Linked DNA regions of Canis lupus familiaris. The protein of the gene in region 1 purifies or fractionates together with the protein of each later gene. This does not show direct contact. Links are inferred from orthologs where the notes say so. Each region holds a gene or a part of one and is shown in the gene's direction. Other genes may lie near its edges.

The links.
Region 2: the proteins of STRADB (region 1) and CAB39 purify together in Homo sapiens (affinity purification with mass spectrometry; 3 studies listed by BioGRID and IntAct, counting the BioPlex papers as one, with this or other methods). This does not show direct contact. The link is inferred for Canis lupus familiaris from reciprocal best matches to the Homo sapiens genes STRADB and CAB39.

Annotation. Positions count from the first base shown.
Region 1 is NC_049258.1:10,373,873-10,385,356, forward strand, and holds the start of STRADB (STE20-related kinase adapter protein beta), read left to right. Parts: upstream 1-5,574; 5' UTR 5,575-5,762; intron 5,763-6,193; exon of another isoform or gene 6,194-6,253; intron 6,254-8,948; 5' UTR 8,949-9,031; coding exon 9,032-9,043; intron 9,044-11,484. UniProt on the Homo sapiens protein: Pseudokinase which, in complex with CAB39/MO25 (CAB39/MO25alpha or CAB39L/MO25beta), binds to and activates STK11/LKB1.
Region 2 is NC_049246.1:42,954,043-42,964,846, forward strand, and holds part of CAB39 (calcium-binding protein 39), read left to right. Parts: intron 1-6,772; coding exon 6,773-6,937; intron 6,938-9,108; coding exon 9,109-9,227; intron 9,228-10,804. UniProt on the Homo sapiens protein: Component of a complex that binds and activates STK11/LKB1. In the complex, required to stabilize the interaction between CAB39/MO25 (CAB39/MO25alpha or CAB39L/MO25beta) and STK11/LKB1.

The DNA of each region.
Region 1 (11,484 bases):
TATCATCCTAATTTTCTACCCATCATTACCTCTTAGTCTACGAACTAACCTCTTAACAGGCCTCCATGCTCAATTTGTTGCTCTCTCTCTTCTCTGTAAGACAAGAAAAATGTTTTAAAAACTAAACTCCTTAAAAAAAAATACCTAGAATAAAATCCACACGTCTGGTCTAGTCTTGCCCCTGACTACTTCTCTTCCTTCATCTTGTACCACTCTCTTTACTCAGACTCAGCCACAAAGACAGCTTTGTGTTATGGCTTTTTCTTTACTTCCTCATCACATTCTCTCCTATCACTGGATCTTTGTCACTGTTTATTGTACTTGGAATATTCTTCCCTCTTGTTCTTCATATGGTAACTACTTCTCACCCTTCCAGTCTCAGCTGAAAAATTATCCTCAGAGATAAGTTACCAGTCCAATTGATCTAAAGTAGCCTCTCCTGCCATCTTTATTTTCTAACTCAGCATCTAAGTTGTTTTCTTCACAACACGTATTACAACTTACTTCCAGGAAGGAAGAGGGAAGTGCTACCTTCTCCTTTTCTTTTTCCTTTCCAATCAGAATGAGAATATGACAGGAACTTAAGCAACTTAATACATATTTGTTGTTAAATGAACTATTAACTGAACTGGTAGGTGAATTCTTTCACCATGAACACATCTGTCAACTTTATTGTTACACAAAATAGCATAATACTTTTAAATTACACTCTGTTTTATTTGAGCTATTCCTTCTTTATTATCAGAAAGCTTTCTAAAGAGAAAGAACTTGAAATTTGGCAAATACTGACAGAGATATATGGATAAACTTCAAAGACCCCAATGATCTTTACAACATGAATTAGTTACACCTCTATACCTCGAGTAGACTTTGTATGCTCATTTTCTAGCACAAATAAATCATAATACAGGGTGGTTAAACAGGATATCCCCAAGGTTATGTGAGCCACTAGTAAAGCTAGGAACATTACATAATAAGAAGCCAGTTACATAAGAAATCTCAATAAAATGACCTATGCTAACAACTGGTCAATTAGCCACCTATTGGATAGTTTTCAATAAATGTCTCCTGAATTAAGCTGAAAGACTGAAAAGAGATTTTTTTTTTTTTTAAAGTAGCCTCTGCCCTAAGGGAGGTTAAAAATTTAAGAAATCTAAGATCTACTAGGGAAACTTCTGAGTTCCATGCTCTAGATTAAATCTAAGATCTAATGGTCTAAGATATCTAAGAGAAGAAGATAACACCACTAGATAATAAGTATTTAATGAGTATTAGAACAGAATTGTTCTAAATACAGTCAGGTGAAGGGAAAACTGCTTTCTAGCTAAAGTGATCTGGTTTCTTTTCTTTTTTTTTTTTTTTTTTTAGTGATCTGGTTTCACATTGGAGTATGATGTTAAGTGGGTTCCTCAAGGATGGAAAGATCCAGATAGTGAGAAGGGGAGTATCCAGTAGGTAAAGGACAAAGAAAAAAAAAAGCCCCAGAGCAAACAGCAGGCAGACCCAGTTTGGCAGCAGTGTACAGAACAATTTAAGTGGGAATGATTAGGGGAAAGTACTTGGAGCTTTGAATTTCACAAGTTCAGATTCAGAAGTCTGAACGTGATTGCACAAGGCAACAAGTTTCTAAATGGAAAGTGACATCTGAGGGGCTTGGCTAACCCTTGGTAGAGCATGCAACTTGTGATCTCAGGGTTGTAGTTTGAGCCCCATATTAGGCGTAGAGATTACTTAAAAATAAATCTTTTTAAAAAATGTTATTTCAGAAATAAATCTAGAGTCAGAATACAAGATAAATTTCAAGAATGGAAAGATTAGAGACAGTAATAATTTAAAATTTTTACTGCATTGTGCCTGGATTATTGTAATAAAGGCATAAATGAGTTGAAACAGTAAGAGGGATCTGTAAGACAGTGTTAACTCGTTAACTTATGAGTTGGGACTAGATAAGCTTTAACCTCTCCTAAAAGATAATTACATCTGGCATATACTTCAATCATTTGACTTCAGACCTCACAATTTTCATTGCTCCTCACTCCCTAATAAGTCCCAGACATTTGGTGACGCCATGAAGTCCAAACTGGATTCTCCAACCACATAATACAGCCCAGTCAAAACAAAGGATTGCATTTACTAGCTACCTAGACATACTAGGAAATTCCCAATCATATAACTTTGTTCTTGTGATTTCTTCTACCTTTAATATCTCTCCCTCCTTCTAACATATTCAAAGTCTAGCCATTCTTCGTATCTTAGTTCAAATGCCATTTTTTTCCCAATGCCAGATTTCCCAAAAGCCTCAACTTGAAGTAAGATTACTTTCCAATACTCTCCACTTTCTTCTAAACATTTTTAATCATATAATTATTCCTTATCTCCTCTAATAAAACTATATACTCCCTACAACATACATAATTTATTTTTGTATTATTCCCTCTTCCTTTCTTAGGTAGTTGAAGATCTTGATAAATAATACATGGTAACATACAGTATAATGGCTAGGAGCATAGTCTGAAGACAGACTACTTGAATTTGAATCTAACACTGCCATTTGCTATTGACCATGGGCAAGTTACTTAACCTCTGTGTTTTGATATCTTTTCTTTTTTAATTTTTATTTATTTATTCATGAGAGAGAGAGAGAGAGAGGCAGAGACACAGGCAGAGGGAGAAGCAGGCTCCACACAGGGAGCCCGACATGGGACTCGATCCTGGGTCTCCAGGATCAGGCCCTGGGCTGAAGACGGGGTTAAACCACTGAGCCACCTGGGCTGCCCTGTGCTTTGATATCTTTAAGTATAAAATGGAGATAGTAATAGTACATAGTCCATGAGGTTGTCAGAAGACTTGATTTAGAACACTGTAAGCACCACAAAAGTGCCTATTAGTGGGAAAATACTGAATATTCTGGGATAGTTGAGTAAAGCTTTATCTATGGAAAGCAAAATGTCAAAAGTAAAGCCAGTTTCTAGGTACAAAGAGGTGCATACAAATTCTTCCTAAATGCTCCCATGTTTGCCCTAAGGGTTAGCTGTGCCCTTTAAAATCTCCCTTATGTTAACAATAGATGTTTTAGTTTGTCATTTCAATACTCTGAGACAATATTTAGTTCAGCTTCCACCTAATTTTGATCATGCTTCCAGTCTTATCTCCTTTAATCCATACTCCACAAAGGTCAGAGTAGTCTTTCTAAAATGCATATCCAATGTTTTTCCTCTGCTACAAACCATCTCCATTCTATCCCTTTTATGATAAAGTTCAGCTCCTTGGCATTTCATACAAAATTGTCCTAATATGGCCCCAGCCTAATCTCCAACTTCAACTCTCAACACTTCTTACCATGAAACTTAATCACCTGGCACCCTTAACGGCTTTTTGTATGTCATTCCTTTTGCTAGAACATCCCTGAATTAGTTTGTTAGGACTGCCATAGAAAATACCAGAGTAAAAAAAAAAAAAAAAAAAAAAAAAGAAAAGAAAAAGAAAATACCAGAGTAGGTTAAATGAGACAAGTTTATTTCCTCACAGTTCTGGAAGCTAGAAGTTGAATATCAAAGTATTGGCAAGCTTGGTTTCTCTCTGAGGCTTGCAGATATCCAACCTCTCAGTGTGTTCTCACATAATTTTTTTTCTCTGTGCACACATCCTTGGTGTCTCTTTTTGTTTCTAAAGTTCTTTTTATAAGGACACCTGTCAGAATGAATTATACCCACTCTGTTATTGCAGCGATTAAGTGAGCAAATGTACACAGAGCTCATGACTGGTGTGCCCAGCTGACTGAAAGTACAGCTGACTTGAACTTGGGTTTGAACTGCAAGGGTGCACTTAGACACTGAGTTTTCTGATACAGTACAGTAAATGTATTTTCTTTTTTCTAGTTTACTCTAAGAATACAGAATTGTAATACATATAACACAAAATATGTTAAACAACTGTTTATGCTATGAATAAGGTTTCTGATCAAAAAGGCTATTAGTGGTTAAGTTTCTAGGGAGTCAAAAATTATATATGGATTTTTGACTCTACAGGGGGTTGGTGCTCGTCAGCCCGGTGTTGTCCACGGGTCAACTGTACTCAAATACTTGTACTTTTAATATTTGTACTCATATACTGTACTTTCTTATGATTTCTTCAACGTATGAATAAAAATCTGTAAAATAACAAACCACTCTCTTTCGTACATGTGATTGCTGAATGTCTGAGACATTGTTGAACATTAACTTTAAAAATAGAAAGCTGTAAAAACTGCTGAGATGATAAAGTGTCTTCATCCCTGCCCTTTCCCACCACCAAACGCCCTTCACAATTCCTTAAGTGTCACGTCAACGCTATTAACATGCTATTTGGAGATCACTGTAACTCAGACTTTCAATTCTACAGCAAAGAGGTGAAGGTCATGACAAATTTTTGCTGAAAGATAATTTTTTAAAAAACTAGAAGAGTCCATGTCATTTTATTCCTATGGTCTATTCTAGCTTGATGAATTTCCAGTGAAAAGTTACTGCTCTGTTTTTTTTTTTTTTTTTCTGGCTCAGAAAATGCAGGTTTTAATATAAGGTTGGTGGGCAATGAACTGAGTTCACCATTATTACTAGACCCAGAACTCTTTTAAATGTTTGGGAGATCATCTTTACGCTGGTACTAAAGAGGACATCTGCCAACATCTATTATTCACGCCTGACACTAAAGTGAACCGTTTCTTTTGAAGGATATGTGGTGTCTGGCTCAAAATCAATCGCAAGAAAAACCCAACTGAGCATAGAAAGAGCTCTCTGCAATATCCTCTCTGTTTGCTCACATCACAGATGGTGACCGGGGCTTAGGCACTAAAGCTGCGCATCACTCAGGGAGGAGGTTCCAGGGGATGCTCTCCGGCAGAGGATGAGATCCTCACAGGCGCAGCTGGGATGAACCCGGAGACCAGAGCCCAGCGCCCATCACTTCGCACCCACACTTGGGGAACCAACCACTTCCCAACCAAGCCTTCGCGGGGCGGAGCCCGGCGAAGACCCAGGCCTGCGATCCCCAGCCCCCGGCTCCGATGTCCGCGCGTGACCTCCGGGCACCGGGAGGAGCTCCGGGCGGGGAGGCTCCCCTGCTTTCCGGGGAAGTTGGCAAGGGCAAGTTGGAGTCACGCGCGGGAAGGTTACTCACGGGAATGGCCCGACGTCCTCCGTCCTCCGTCCTCCGCCCGCGCTCCCTCAGGGAATAGGGTCTAAAGCGGCGGCAGCCCGAGAGCTGCAGCCGAAGCGGCTGCCGCTGCCACAACCGCCCGGGCGTGGCAGGGACCGAGGGCGACTTCACAGCATCATCACTCGGCGACTCTGCTTTGGCAGCGGGGCCGGCGCCTCCGCAGCCCCACACATCGGAGGAGAGCGGAGGAGACCCGCTCTCCCGGCAGCCTCCGCGGCGTCGGCGCACTACCTGCCGGGAAGTGTGGTCTTCCCGAGCGCCCGCCCCCTCCGCCTCCGGAGTCGCCGCGCGCCTGTCCCGCCCCCTCAGCGACGAGGCCCCGCCCCCGAGGCCGCCGGGCCCCGCGGCGGGAGGCGGGGCCGCGACCCTGGGGCGAGTCCAGTCCGGGCGGGCTGCCCGCGGCGGGGGCAGAGCTCCAGGCCCGCAGCCCGAGGCCGGGTCGCGCTGCCTTGCTGCGCCCCGCGGCCCGCGCGCTCGCAGGGCCCCCTCGGTGGGCCGGGCTCCCGGGGCCGTGGGGCCCCGCTCCGTTGGGCTCCTGAGGAGAGTCGCCGGTCGTGGTCGCCGCCAGGGTAAAGAGGGGAGGCCGGGCGGAGGGGGGTGGCGTCGGGCCGGGTCGGGAGCCTGAGGGAGCGCGGCTCGGTCCGCGCGCACCTCGCGAAGCCCGAGGCTGGAACTTGCCGCCCCGCCTCGAACCCACGCCCTGGCCGCGGGCGGGCGGGCGGGGCGGCGTCTGGAGTCCGGCTGGCGGGGCGAGCGGCCCCTGAGCCCCGGGCCGTCGGGCGGCGGCGGCGGCACCTGCGCTCGCGGTGGGCGGCGCTTGCCAGGTGCGCGGGGCGCCCGCGGCCCCGGTGCCGCCCCCCCTCCCCGCCCCCTCCTCACCGCCTCCTCACCCGGCACCTCGGGCCGCTAGCTCGAGCCTGGCGGAGCGTCCCGGCGGGAGACACCCTGTGGCCGCGGCTCTGTGCCGCCTCCTGCGAGTTCGCCTCCTCGAAGCAGGACGAGGAAGGAGCCTCTTCACAAAATTAAATGCTCAAGCTTCATTTTGTTCCCGGTATTTAAAGTGAGCGTCGTGTTTTTCCCCTCGTGGCTTTGTGGTGCCAAACACCCTTTTCCTGAAAACTTGGTCAGGATTTTGTGACCCGGCGGCTGCCGAGCGCAGGTCCGGGTGGCGCACAGTAGGCGCTCAGGAAAGATTTTGTTTTGAAAGCATGAGTCATGTTGCTAAGTTTGGGGAATCTTATAGCGAGTTGTGCGTCGCTGCAATTTTTGAGATTTTATGGGTTCTCAAGGTCCCTTTGAAAATTACAGTAATTTTAAGGCTTAGCAGAGATCGGGGTTGTTGTTGTTTTTGCGTTTCCTATAACAATAGCCTCTGCTGGATGCCTAAATTAACTCAAAACCCGAGTTCTGTAAATAAATGCGCCCTGTGATTTTCACAGAAATTGTTAACCTTTGATATTAAAGTCTTTGGATGAACTATTCTATAATGGAGCAAATTTAAATTATTTATAAAGCTTTATACCCTAATTAGCTTGTTAGATACAAATGCAAAGGACCACACTGATGTAATATATTTAGAAATACAGGCCTCAAGTATGATTTCTTTAAAAAGGATTTATATTCACATCTAGTGAAAGAGCGTGCAGGAGAAAATCTACTCGCCCCCCCCCCCCCCCGCCCCCAAACTGTACCCTTTACCAGGTGCAGCTGCTGCCTTGACCTCAAAATGTCTGGTAAAATGATCTCTTAAGCATCTGGCATATCTAAAGCAGAAATCTGTGGGATTAAACCACCTCAGTGGAACTACTCCTTTGTACTCACAATTCATAAAATCGTGTCAGTTTCTTCGGAGTATTTCTGAAATAATAGATAATGTAACAGAATTAAAGTTTTTTTGTTCTTGTTTAAGAACTTACTGATAGGAAGTGGAAGAAGCAAGAAACAAAATCCTGTTAACCAGAAAATTGAATTAATCACGACATCCCTAATCTTCCTGTGAGAATGTGAACTGCAAGTGGTCAGGGCCTTGTCTGCCCTGATCACCAGTGAGTGTCCCCAGTGCCTGACCATGGTCACCATTCATTAAGCACTTAGAGAATGAATACTTGGCTGTTTCGGATTAATGGTGTCATGACTTTCTACCTGTGTATGGTTTCTTCATTTATTTGGACATTTCCTTAGAGTTGATTGCTAGAAGTGAGAATTTTACTGGGTCAAAAGGTATGAGTATTTTCATGTTATTGAAACATTGCCAACTTGCTTTCCAAGTGAGCCTTACATTTTTCGGCTGCCACCAGTAATATGTGAGTGTACCTCTCAGAGTATCCTCTCGAGCTCTTATATTGATTGGCGCAGTATTTGGTAGTTATGAGCCCTTTCAGATGAAGTATCTCTGATTCAATCACCCCAGAAGGTGGGCAGGGCAGGTATTGCTTTCCCCCTTTTGTATTACAGCAAATACCACTGCCTTAAGTTGATGATAATGAATAGCAAGTGACTAAATAATCATACCCTTTGAGGTTTTTCCTCCCCCTCTTCTCTACTTTTGGTTTGTAGTGAATATTCTGAATAAATTCATATCTTTCCTTAACAGTAAAATTGGATACTGCTGTATAATATGTATTGTTTACAAAATCTTCCTTTTCTTTTCGCTTAGTTAGATATTTGCAGGGACCTTGATTAAACTTGGGGATTTCATTAAAATGAAATAATAAACCACAATTAACAAGAAAGAGATATTCCTTAGTTATAAGGAAACACCCAGCACTAGGAAGTTCAGAACATTGCCACCCTTTCTGTTAGGAAAAATCTGGAAAGTTTTGGTGGTGCCCTTGTAGTTCTTTAACTCTAAAGAAGTTGCTATTTTAAACTTCTGAATCTGTTGCAGTCTTCATAAACTATTGAGGTTAATACTCTACTAGTGATAGTGGACAGGAATTACTTGTATAATTTCATATCTTTCATATATGTCAAATTCTAGGAAGAACAGAGAACTAAGAATTGTGTTAAAAATATTCAGTCTTCAGAAATATTATTTTATGTTAAGACTGAAATTTCTCTTTTAAAAACATGTGACAACGAGTAAATGTTAATTCCTAGTGTGTTGCTAATGCAGATTGTTTCCCAAATTTGCTAATCATGGACCCCAAATGACTTAATTGGCAATTAATCCAATCAGGAAGCTTTGGAACCTTCAACGTTTACTTATAACTAGAATCATTGGAAATTCTAATGGGTCCAACATTGATTTTCTATATTGCTTTCACATTTGCTTAAGTTTCTTTTTTTTTTTTTTAAGATTTATTTATTTATTCATTCAGAGAGAGCGAAGAGAGAGGCAGAGACACAGGCAGAGGGAGAAGCAGGCTCCATGCAGGAAGCCCGATGTGGGACTCGATCCTGGGTCTCCAGGATCACACCCCGGGCTGCAGGCAGCACTAAACTGCTGCACCACTGGGGCTGCCCTTAAGTTTCTTTAAAAAAAGTAGTACAGAAAAAATAGGGAAGGAGAGATGCAGGTATATTGGTCTTTGGAAATACTCAGAATCTCCCTTCAACTTCACTCTGCCTTTCTGTTGTGATGGCAGATCAAATAGTGTTACATAAAAAGAAACACTCTTTAAAGACACTTTTCAGAAATGTCTCCAGTTGTTGTATCAAAGAATAGCTGCCTAAATATCATATGGGTTTATAGCAACTAGTTCTTCCAGGAGCTTTTATGTAAATCTAAATTTTGCTTTTGTTTTTTATAACAGAATATTTCTTCATCTTGAAGATAAAGCAAAAATCTTTTGGAGTAGATGGGTTTTTGACATCTTCTGTGAACTAAAAAGATTCAATGTCTCTCTTGGTAAGTTTGTGTTAACACAGATTTAATTTCAGGACATGTGGGTCCCGCAGTCCCTTATGCCTCTGACTCTTGGTTTCTGCTCTGGTCATGATCTCAGGGTTGTGAGATCCTTAGGTCAGGCTCCCTGCTCTGTAAGACATAGGCTTGGGATTCTCTCTCCCTGCAAGCTCCACCCCCACACCCAGGCCAAGACAATAAATAAGAGATGCTTGGATGGCTCAGTTAAGTGTTTGCCATTAGGTCTTGCTTTCAGGGTCTTGGAATTGAGCCCCAAGTAGGGCTTCCTGCTCAGCAGGGAGTCTACTTCTTCTCCCTTTGCTCTTCAGCACTGCTCATACATTCTTTCTCCTCTCCCTCTCTTTCAAATAAATAAATCTTTAAAAAATAAGATGAAATAACATAAATCTCTTTTTTTAAAGATTCTATTTATTTATTCATAAGAGACATAGGCAGAGAGTGAAGTAGACTCCATGCGGGGAGCCCAGTGTGGGACTGGATCCTGGGATTCCAGGATCACTCCCTTGGCCGAAGGCAGGTGCTCAGCCACTGAGCCATCCAGGCATCCCATAAAGAAATCTTAAAAAAAAAAAAAAAAAAAAAGCATAGATCTAATTTGGTACTATCAGAGTAGTTAGATGTTAGTGCAGAGCCATAATTGAAGGCAAATTCTGATGAGATACTGTTATGCTGAGATGTTATTTTGACCTGAATGGCTTTTGGTCTTAAGAAATGAGTTAAATTCTCATTGAGTTTTTGTTGCTTTAAAAAAGAGCTTCTCCTATACTTTTCTGATATATTCATCGTTCATTTCCTTTGTCCCATCCCACTTTTTTCCATACCTTTACTGTACTTAGATATGCCTCTCCCATCTAGTTAGCTATCTTATCCTTAAATCTTTCAAAAATCCCTTTTACAAATTTCCACTAGACCAAAGGCAAACAGAATAATACTAAAAATCAGCCTCTTAACAACAAGATAGAATACAGTTGGATCAATGTATAGTATGATATATAGATTACAGCTTGTTTTTTGTTTATACTAGATCCATGGCATCTAGATTGAGAACCAAGAATCATATGGTAAAAAATATTCAACCTACCGAAAATATTACTTAAATTAAGTAGTTTCAGGTCTTTCATCATATCTTCTTCTATAGAACATAATACAATATCTGACTTGATTAAAGTAGTGATCTTTTAAAAAGTGATGGGTACATTTGTATGATGATTTGCAGTTTATAAATACTTTTATATATCTCTTTCAGTCTTCAAAATTATGAGTGATTGGTAGGGCAGGTGGTTTAATCTTGTTTTGAGTTTGGCCCAAGATTGCCAGGGCTCAAATTCATATCTGCCAATCCACTCCATCATTTACCAAGTCTGAGAGAACTATGAAGTGAGGAAATACAGAATGGATTTGTTGGATTTATTGTATAATTTGTTATATGAAATATACAGAATGCACTTACTTTATTTTTAAAGTAAAGATTCTCTACTTAAAAGGGGAGCTTTAGGAGCTCCTGGCTGGCTCAGTCAGTAGAGCATATGACTCTCGATGTTGGGGTGTAAGTTCAAGCCCTGTGTTGGGGGTAGACATTACATAAAAATAAAATCTTAAAAAAAAAAAAAAAGGACAGCTTTATCTATCAATAAAGCACATTGATGTGAAATACCTACCTGATTTTCTGGTGCTGGGGTAAACCAATATTTTCTGTAAAGGACCAGATAGTATTTGTGTGGTATATGGTCTTTGTAACAAATTACTCTTCTGTTCTTGTGCTGTGAAAACAGTCATAGACAATATTTAAATGAAAAAAATGAATGTGTTCAAGTAAAACCTTCTTTACTGAAACAGGTGGTGGGTCAGACTGGTTTGTGGACCCCTGCTCTAAAGGATTACTTAAGATTCACCATTTTATATCAGTTTATAAATTGCGTGAGTTGTAAAAGGGCATTTGATAGAAGAAGATCCAGAGATTTAGAGGACTGTGTGGATTCTCAGGGCTTCTAAATTTTGGAAAAAGAGTATCTTATTTATTCAATTATTCTATAATTATGGGTTTTGTGAAAAATAATAGAAATTAATGTATGATTTAAATTTGTTCAGTTTGTTAATAATTTTACATTTAATACTTCCTGTAATGATGAAATATTTAGAATTCTTTGAATATTTTCCTACATGAGATTTTTGTACAACTGAGATAAAATTGATGTTTATACTTATGAAGGATTCTTCCTCATTCAAGTTTTTTCCTCTGTTGGAGAGCTAAGAAATAGTGTTTTCAAAGGAGCAACATCAGTCAAATATTTTCCTTTAGATGCCCTAGTAGATATAACTGCTTTACATTTGGCTATTATGGTAGTAGATTTAAAAATTACATTAAAAATATTTTAAGGCAGCTTCTGGATGGTTTTAATACTATGTGTGCTGTCTAAAAGACC
Region 2 (10,804 bases), on another chromosome or scaffold:
CCACACAACTAGCAGAATTGCATGTGGGAGACCTGGAAGCAAGGGGCCCTTTCCTCCAGCACACATGTATAGAGCCATGAGCCTTGGAACCAGGAAGGGTTGCCTCTTACCTGTGAAGAAAAAGCTAAATGAGAGAGTAGGTGAACTTTTTAGACTTATAAAATGATTGCAAAAAGAATACCTTTCACCCAGTTTCCCCAGATGTTAACATTTTTCATAACCAGTCTAATGATCAGAATCAGGAAACTGACATGTTTATGATAATATTAACTAATCCATGGGTCTTTTTCAAATTTCATCAGTTGTCCTACTCATGTCCTTTTTCTGGCCCAGGATCCAGGTCAGGATGACACACTGTGTTTAGCTGTCACATCTCCTTACTCTCCTTTAATCTGAAACAGTGTCCCAGTCTTCCATTGGCACTATGACCTTGACGGTTTTGGAAAGTACTGTCCAGTTAATTCTGTAGACTGTTCCTTAGTTTGGGTTTGGCTGATGTTTTCTCATGATTCAATGCAGGTAATGCCTTTTCGGTGAGAAAATCACAGAAGTAATGCTATACCCTTTGCTGTGCCAGGAGGCTTGTGAGGTCAATGGTCCCATTACCATTTACTCTGATCCCATGGTTACAGTGGTATCTGCATGTGAAAGTATTATTTTTACTTTTGTCATTAATGAGTCTCTTGAGGGAGTTCGGCATCTCTTTAAAAAGTACCCCCAAGTGATTCTGGTCTGTGTCCAGGGTTGAGATGGAGGAAGCTGAGGATGATTTCATTATGAAATCTTGTCACAACATGGAAGGAGTGAAGCTAGATGTTCAGTTAGGGAGCAGAGATAGAGACTGAAGTCTCTTGAGGAAAATAAGAGTAATTTTGAAAGCTCTGCTGCTAGGAGTTACTGGCTGGATATAATCCAATTTGAAGAAATGTTTCTGACTGGATTGAAGGCTGTCGAACAGCATGGATTTTAGCAAACTAAGTGTGCACAAGTTTCCAGCAGTTTCTCTGCAGTGCTCAGAACCCTGGGAGCTGAAGTAAAGAACGTTTCAATGAAGGACATCCAACATATAGGGGAACAAGAGACTGTTGCTGTGGGCATGGGTAGCACTGAAACCTGGTGTCTTAGCAGGACAGGTGATGTGCTCGTTAAGGAGCCCAGTGGACTAGGTGACATGATGGGCTCAGCATCTTGAGAAGGCATAGTGCTTAGAGAAGCGGTAAGTGTGACTCGCTTATTCATTAGGTGTGAGGGGACAGACAGGGAGGTGCAATCAGGGGATGTGGTCAGAAAGGCAGAGAACGTGTTGACTTAATGCCAGCAGGCCAGAGACCAGGGACGAGGCAGCCTCCCTGCTGTGAATGCCGAAGAAGGATGCCAACCCAGACCTACACAAGAACAGACAAGTTTATTTGTTTTCTCGGCTATCTTCATTCAGTAGACACTTGCCACATCACCTTTTCTGGTAAAATACTTCTTAAGGTTTTCTGATCATCTTTTAGTAAAATTTGGACATGTTTCTTTTTTATTTTTTATTTTTTGATGATTTTATTTAATCAGCTTATAATTATCCATGTAATGGGGAACAGAAAGCACAGAAGTAGTTGAAATATGCATAAAATTAAAAGTCATCATTTGAAATATGAGCTTAATCTCCTGTATATCAGGACTGCTAATAAGTAATAAGGTTGATGAGTTTTAGATTTTTATAAAATCTAAAAAAAATCTATAGATTTTTTGCTGCTGATTATCTTCTGTAGATGGCAACTAACCATGGATGTAAAAGTAAAATGTGAATTGTGAAACATAACATCTGAAGTAGAGCAAGTGAAAACAAAATATTCTTCTTACCTGTCTACAATAGGAAGACTATGCTCAGTTTGGGGTGTCTTCTTCCAGATTATTCTCTGTGAGAACACCAGGATTTATGTTCATTGCTTGCTGCTGTAGCTGTCACGTAAATTGCCTTGCTTGGATACACTGTGTATTTTAGGAATTCCTTGCCTTCATGGTGTGATAACATCACATTTCTCTACATCCAGTTTTCATCTGGATCTTTTTTTAATATCTCAGTGATTGAGTATGCGGATTTTCAACCATTTGTCAAGCATGTATGGCAACACTGCAAGCACTGGGCTCCTGATGGAGCAGGAGGAAATACATTAACCTAGAAATCACAAGGAAAAGCAGAACTACAACTGTGAGAAAAGAAGTATGTGGTAGTGTCGAATGTATTATAGAATTTAACAAGAAAGACTCCTCTGAGGAAGTGATCATTGACCTGAGCAATGAAGGAAGAATGTGAATGGCCAGGAGGTGGAGGCAGGGCATAGGCCTAGGAAACCACATGTGCAGGTATCCTGAAAGGATACCAGTGTGACCAGAGTAGTGGCTTAGAGATAGTGGGGGAGGAATTGTAGTGCAGACTAAGGTCAGACAAGGAGGGTCAGACATTGCAGGGTTTTACAGACTGTGTTAAGAAATTTTCTCTATCCCAAGAGCATAGGTAATTGGAGCATTTTTGAAGCAGAGGTAACAACAATCCTATTTGTGTTAAGAAAGGATCATTCTGTTCTTAATATGGAGAATGGCTTATAGGGAATCAAGGAAGTCAGTCAGTGGACTACTTATAGTAGTCCAGGCAAGAGTTGTGGGGACTCTGACGTGGGGGGTCATGGTATGCGGATAAATGGATGGATTTGGGAGACATGGTGATTAATTAGATATTGGGGTGGAGTGAGAAAGAGGGGGAAGGGTTGAGGATGGCTTCTGAGTTTCTGACATGCATAAGAGCATCAGTAGTGGTATCGTTCCCTGAAATAGAGACCAAGGGAAGAGTATTAGGCATTAGGGCAAAATCATGAGTTCTGTTTTTGATTGCGTTAGGTTTGAGGTACCTTGAGACATTCAAGTGGAGACATTTCAAGTAGGCTGCTGAATGTACTAGTAAGAAAACTGGATTAGAGATAGGAATCTGTGAGGCATCTGCATTGAGGTGTTAATTAAAGCTGTGGGTGTGGATGACATCACTTGGGAGAGATGATAGAATGAGAAGAATAGGCCTTGTACCCTGCCTTGAGGAATTCCCAATATTTAAATGGTCTCATCAAGAGGGATATGAGCCAAGAAGGAGGCAAAAGGAGCAACCAAGGAGACAGGCAGGAAAAATGAGGATGGTGGTGAGTCACAGAGGACGAGGGAGGAGCAGTTTTAAAAGAAGGGTGTAATCAGCACCTTCAGATGCTGCCAAGAGCTAACATGTACTAAAGACAGAGAATTGTATTTCCTGGCGGGCAAGTCATTAGTGACTTGCTAAGAACTGTAAAGTACTAGGTGGAGAAACCACGTGGGATTAGGCTGGGAGCGACTGGGAAGGAGATGTGGACTAGAGCACACACAGGTAGATGCTTTTTAACGGTTTAATGGGAGTCTTGACCATATTTAAAACTGATTGAAGGGGAAAAAATCAAGTGAGGGAGTTGGCTATATGAGAAGGAGGTGAGAAAGCAGGTCAGGTCCTAAGAAAGCCAGAAAGTGAACGGAATCCAGGAGGATCAACAAAAACAGACATAGTACAGTGGTTAGCAGATATGGGAATGCTATTGGTGTCCCAACCCCCCAGCCCATAATATAGGTGACAGTGTTGTCTTCTGAGAGGAAAGAAAAGGGCTTTACATGGGGGTCCAGGTGGCCATTCATCTGAGAAATGCCATAAGTTGCTTTCTGTTTCCTTGTTTCTCTCCTCCCTATTTTTTAATAGCTTTATTGAGATAACTCACACATATAATTCATCCATTTAAAGTGTACATTTCAGTGGTTTTTAGTTTATTCACAGATAATGTGCAACCATAACCACAGTCAATTTTAGAACATTTCATCACTTCAAAAAGAAACCTCAGGCCTTTTACCTATCACCTCCCTCCTTTCTTATTCATCTTGCTGTCAGAAGAGAGCACAGAGTATGGTCTGAATTCAGATCTAAAATCCTGTCATGATTTTGGGACACCTGGGTGGCTCAGTGGTTGAGCATCTGCCTTTGGCTCAGGTCATGATCCCGGGATCGAGTCTTGCATCAGGCTCCCTGCAGGGAATGCTTCTCACTCTGCCTGTGTCTCTGCCTCTCTCTATGTTTCTCATGAATAAATAAATAAAATCTTTAAAAATAATAATAATAAAATTGTATCATGATTTCAAAGAAGAGGCTATGTAAGCTGAGGCATATGAAAGGTTGCCAAGAGACTCAAAACTGTGATCTAGTCAGAGAAGCACTGGTATAAAATCAACAGATAATACACACAGGAAACACACTAAATGCCGGGCTCTTCCTTGTCAGAGAAAATCATCTTAAGAATAAAGTTGGTAAAATGAAATTACAGAAGTAACATATGTAATAGTTTATAAGAGAACATTTTCTGTTGATAAATGATTTTATCTACTGGCTCCCAAAAAGTACATTTTGGGGTACTTTAACTTGGTATAAGGGATGAACTGCTGTTAGAAATCTAAGGTGTTGGGCAGCCCCGGTGGCTCAGCGGTTTGGCGCCTCCTTCGGCCCAGGGTGTGATCCTGGAGACCTGGGATCGAGTCCCGCGTCAGGCTCCCTGCATGGAGCCTCCCTCTCCTTCTGTCTGTGTCTCTGCCTCTCTCTCTGTCTGTCATGAATAAATAAATAAAATCTAAGAAAGAAAGAAAGAAAAAAGAGAGAGAGAGAGAGAGAAAGAAAAGAAAGAAGGAAATCTAAGGTGTTGAAAGAATAGGGTGGTAACAGCTTGACGGGAGAAGGTAAAGATTCTGCTGAACACTGATAATGGAAGGTTTTCCATAGGGATTATTGGGATGATTTTAAACATTTAGAAAAGAAAGTCATAATCCTAAGCATATGCTTAGGAAAAAGGACTACCAAATTAACTTTATTTCATTGTCTTATATTCAGGAAATGTGGAAGAAATAGTATATAGCTGACCCTTGAACAACACAGGGGTAAGAGGCACCAAGCCCCCCACCAGGTCAGAATCCACATACAACTCTCGACTGCCTTAGAACTTAATACTAGTAGCCTACCTACTGCTGACCAAAAGCCTTGCTGATAACATAAACAGTTAACACATTTTGTACACTACATATACGGTATACTATGTTCTTACAATAAAGTCAGCTAGAGGAAAGAAAATGTTAAGTAAATCATGAGGAGAAAATATAGTATTGTCCTATGAAAAACACGTATGAGTGGGCTAGCACCTTGTTCAAGGGTCAAATGTTAAATTATCTTATATCCAAGTATTTAACAAAAAGCCTTTTGAATTTGATTTGGAAATAGGTTTATATATAAGTGGCTAAGGGACCGTGTGCAAAGATTATTAGTAGATCGTAATGAAAAGCATGATGATTCAAAGGCATAATGGTAGGTTCCATTTAGAGTTATTTCCTTTTCGATGTCTTGGTTAATGATTGAGGCCGTGGGAGGTATACTATCAGATTTGCAGAAAATGCAGATATGAGAATGATAGCTGGTATGTTGGATGTCCTTCAGAATCTAGAAATACCTCCACAGTGTTGAACAATGGGCTGTTAATGAGGTTAAATGAAATAGTGAAAAGAGTTAAAGCCTCCATTGCAGATCACTCAAAGACCTGGCTTCGAATGAATTCTATGAGTTAATTGCAGAAATTCTTGATGGTACCATCAGGCTACATTAACATTTGTGACATTTATAGGGAAATCGTGATCTAGTGTCTTGTGCATCATTCCATCCTAATGGGATTGGAACATTAGCCCTCCTTTTCTTAAAAGAATAAAGAAGCTGAGAGGAAGTTTTTCTGGAAAAGACAAGAGATGGGCAGGTCACCCTGAAAGAGCTCGGCTGCTCCCTGACTTGGGTGTGTTCCTCACACACACCGGCTTCTCAGTACCCTGCTGAAGAAGCAGTGTGTGTTTGCACACCTCTCTCCTCTCTGGTACTCTGCCCTGCCGAGTCCCAGTGCTGTCTCAACCCCTGGAGACCGCATGCCCTCCCTGTGCTGTGGCCTGGAAGCTCTCCAGGTGGTAAGCCAGGGCACTTGTGAATTAAATTCATTTGTTTCCCTTCTCTCAAGGCTCACCATCCTGTGCTGTCTGAAGTTCAGTGTTTAAGATGCATTGTTTCATGTCACTTCTCCTGTTTTTTTATCTTTTTCATGGAGGAGGGTAAATCTGGCTCTTGTTCCTCTCTCTTAGCCAGACGTGGAGACTCTTCAGTGTGTTTTGTTTTTTTTTTTAATTTATTGCTAATATCTCAACTCTGCATTCAGAGCCACCTTCTGTCATTCCCTTGTTCCCTCTGCACCTTTCCTCAGGCAGACTCTGTGCTTGTCCCCTCCCTCATCTCCAGCTCATGCCATTCCTGTCCGTCCATCTCCTCCTCCCTCGTTCTTGCTCATCAGTGTCTCTCCATTCTCAGGCTCCACTTTGGCCTCTTCTGTGACGTTGCTCTCCCATGGGAGGCAGAGTCGAACCTTCTCTCCCTGGTCAGTTTCTACCATAATAAACTGTTGGCAGCATTTAGGCATATATGTTGTGTATCTGCTGGCCTTCCCTCTTGAACACATATGTCAGTCTCCACATGTGTCATATGTGCCCAGTGCTCAGCTCCCAAGGGCTGGGACGGGGCTTGCCCACCTTTGTGTCTTTTACATAGCTCTGTGGGTATATAATCTAGAGGGAAGGTATTTTACAAAGGTAGGTTTTTTACATATTTTTTTTTTAAATGAATGGTTTTTCTCCTCTCCCTCAAAATTAGGCCACAGAAGAAGTTTCCAAAAATCTGGTTGCCATGAAAGAAATCCTGTATGGCACGAATGAAAAAGAGCCGCAGACGGAAGCAGTGGCACAGCTCGCTCAGGAACTATATAACAGTGGGCTCCTGAGCACACTGGTAGCTGATTTACAGCTCATTGACTTTGAGGTAAGAAATCAAATTTTTTTTTTTTTTTTTCCAAAAATGGTGCCTTCTTCATGGTCCTTTTCCTGGTGTTCTCGCCTCTGAAAGATCCTAAGATTCCTGCCAGGCTCTTGGCTCCAGGGTTATTGACCTGTAAGCATGCCCAGGCTGCCTGCCTAATTAGCAGAGCCGGGCAGGAGCTCAGGGCTGCCTCAGGCTTAGGCCAGGTCGCCTCCTGTTTCACCACACTGTATATGAAGTTTCTTAGGTATTCGTTGTGCCCTTTTGTTTACATTATATTTAATAAATAGCTGCTGTTTTACGTAATTCACTGGCCTTGGGTTCTCAGGGAGTCAGCAACCTAAAGAAGACCATAGAATGTTAGAGGTAGAGAGATCTTAGGAGATACCCAGTTGTGTTTTAGGGTTTTTTGTTTTGTTTTTTTAACCTGCTGAGAACTCATTACAGCAGAGATGATATGTTCTGTTTGCTTGTGCTTAGCTCTGCTTTTAAATGTTTAAATTAGCATAACGGTTAAATAGCAGGAGATTTTTTATGCAGTTTTGAATTTCTCTGGCTTCCCTTGAAAATTTTGACTCTGGCAGCATTGAGTCAGTGTGCCTATATGGCCCCTCAGCTGGAACAGAGCAGCTACCACCCCATGGGCACACTTGGGTGTGCTGCAGAGAGCAGCTTGCTTTTCTGTCTCAGGGCCTGCTTTACCCAACATACTGTCTCTTGCCTGGCCCTGGTGGGCATTTGATATTATTACCCAAGTTTATATAGCTGAATCATGTCATATTAGATATTTAGTGAATTTAGCAGTGAGAATAATGGTCTTTGATACCAGTCTGAAAGGTAGACTGAGAAGTATATATGGTAATGAGGTATATATGGTAATGAAGGGCTCTTAGCATGGTTATGAATGAGCAGGTTCCTCTGAGTCTTTGTCATGGCTTTGTTTTTAAAGCCCCAGTGTTTTTCATCCTGAGTGACCAATTAGATGTCTGTGCAGGTGCTTGAAAAACCAGGGGAGAGAATGGCAGACGTATAGTCAGATTCAGTTTTGGAGAGTGATGGGAGGGTGTGGTTCCTAGGTTACTTGAGAATAATATTGATAATAAAGGACAGTAAAAATTGACTTCTATAGAACAGATAAAAATATTTCCCTTTATATGGATGATTATGTATTTCTAATAGTGTATCAGATTCCACCAACAACAATCTTTATTTCCTCTGCAAAGTTGCCAGTGCACTAGAACCTCCACTTCCTTCAGCTTTGTCCACCCTTCTCATTCCCCGACCTGAACGCTGAATTTAATATTCAGGACTTTAGAGGCTTAAATTTAAAAGAAGTGTGTGTCCTTGAGATGTGTTCTTAGAGATTGCTATTGCTTCTCCTCACCTAGCACAGGCCCCAGGATGATCTCTAGCCCTGGAAAGCTAGCATTTCACTCACTTTCCTACAGGCTTGTCAGCCTCTTAACAGGTAGCCACTCTGAAGAATCTCATGGGGTTCTGTTTTCCATTTGGTAATCTCTTGTGCAGTTTTCTGATTATAAGATTCACTGTATAGCAGTAATGTCCTATTTTGTTTAGTAAAGTACAGTTGTATAATTCTGATGTCTGAACTGCTTCATCATGTGGTACTTGGAGCCTTCATTACTAATCTATATAAAATCTCTCCTAAGTAGACCTAGCTTAATGAGATATGTCTACTTGCCATGAAAGCTCAGCTTCTTAGAGAATCTTTCGTTTTTTTAATACTAGTAGAATGCAGCTTCTCTTCCTTTCATCACTATAAAAGGAAATTATATGTATTGTTTACAATGTGAGCATTTTATTTGAAACTGCTTATTCCATATGGGTGGGAATTGGATCCCTGAACATTGTAAGCATATAGCAAAGTTTAATTTTTCCTGAATCCACATGATTCTAAGGGTTAGAAATGGCTGAAATTTATATGTAGTAAGATTTCATTTTGTGAACATTCTGCTCATGTTAAAAATAGTGTACTATTAAAACTTCGAATTTGGATTTGTAAATAAAGAAAATTTAATATCTGAACATTTTAAAGTCAAATATTGAGTCATAATTAAAAATATGCAGTGCCTTAATTTGAGTTTATTTGGGAGGGTGGATGGGCTTTTTGGTGGTTAGTCGGGTAAACATTTTAATGATTGTATTCCTAATAGGGCAAAAAAGACGTGGCTCAAATTTTCAACAATATTCTCAGAAGACAAATTGGTACAAGAACTCCTACTGTCGAATATATCTGCACTCAACAGAATATTTTGTTCATGTTATTGAAAGGGTATGTACAATGTAACAAATGTATATTCTCAGTTGAAAAATAAAAAGGAAAGAAGTCTTGGGCAAAAACAGGATGGTAAATGTGGGAACGTGTTTTCTCTATGGTTCAGTCAGTCCATTTTTCCATACATCTTAAACACATTTCCCTCCTTAAAATTCAGCCAGTGAGCTAAATTGAATTCGAAAATGCCCATGGGAATTTCAAGGTTGGTGAATTGTGAGCCTTTAATTAAATTCTCAGATCCTATATAACAGAAGGAAAAAAGTCTTCTGTGGTTTTATTCCTATTCTCTGGATTTTAAAAGTTTATTTATATGAACTATCAGTTAAATGATGTGTTTAAAGACCTCTTGTTCAGGGAGACATGCACACTGTGAGGCAGTAGGAGCTGCCTAGGAAGTGGATCTTGAGTACTATGTAGCGTTACTTTATTCCATCAACAAAGAACACATTTATGAAGTCTACCCTTTGCTTTTTACCTGTGTGTATCCACTCATTAACCTGCTTAGTTGGTAATTCACAGTGCATCTTCCAGGAACTAAGGAGGCATTTATTGGTAGTCTGTTGGTATCAAGTCTGTTGGTATCAAAAAACAAAAACCAAAAAAGCCTAAAAACTCAAAACTTTAAAACGAAAGAAAAATCCTTTCCTCCCTCAATAGTGATCCTACCCTTGGGGCACCTGGGTGGCTCAGTGGTTGAGTGTCTGCCTTTGGCTCAGGTTGTGATTCTGGGATTGAATCCTGCATGGGGCTCTCCACAGGGAGCCTGCTTCTCCCTCTGCCTGTGTCTCTGCCTCTCACTCTCTCTGTCTCTCATGAATAGATAAATAAAATCTGAAAAAAAAAAAAAGCCTTCCTGATTGGCAAGGTCACCCCCTGTCGTTTCACACAAGAGTTGTTTGCCAGCTCTGGGTCTGGTGTGCATCTGTTTGTCCCAGCATTGGTGCTGTTCTATTAAATTGGCGGACAGGCCTTTTAGTAGCATGACTATTGGCGTGAATCAGCTTGCTCTCCTACCCCTTTGCTTTATAGCTTGCCTCTCTCTGATTCATATCTCTGTGGTTTAACACTTCCCCCAAGTTCAAACTTGTTTAGACAAAGCATGAGTCAGTGCATGTGTTTGATGCCAGCATTCTATTTCCTTCTTTCTATTTCTAAATATCTATGTTGCTTCTTCAGACTTTGCCATACAGAACTTTTGGCATCTAATTTTTTGTTGTTACCAATCCACAGTTGCGTGTGTAAACGTGTAATGAGTAGTTTGAAATTTTGTGTTCTTAGAGCACCTTCCAGATGCCTTTGTGTATTTTTAAACTATTTCCTTTTCCATAAAAAGCAGTGGTTATTAAAATCCATAAATTAGTTTTGCTTATGTTTTGGCTTGAGAGTAGCCAGAGGAATGATAAACATTGTTAAACATCACGTAAAGTCAGAATTTTAAGGTATGATTTAAAGAAAAATGAAAGCTCTCACATGAGTTGGCCAGAGCAGGAAAGTCAGCGAGAAAGGAGAGGAGGAGAAGCCTGGAGAATGCAGCTGGTGTTGTTCTCCACCAGCGCCCATCTCCCCATCCTTTC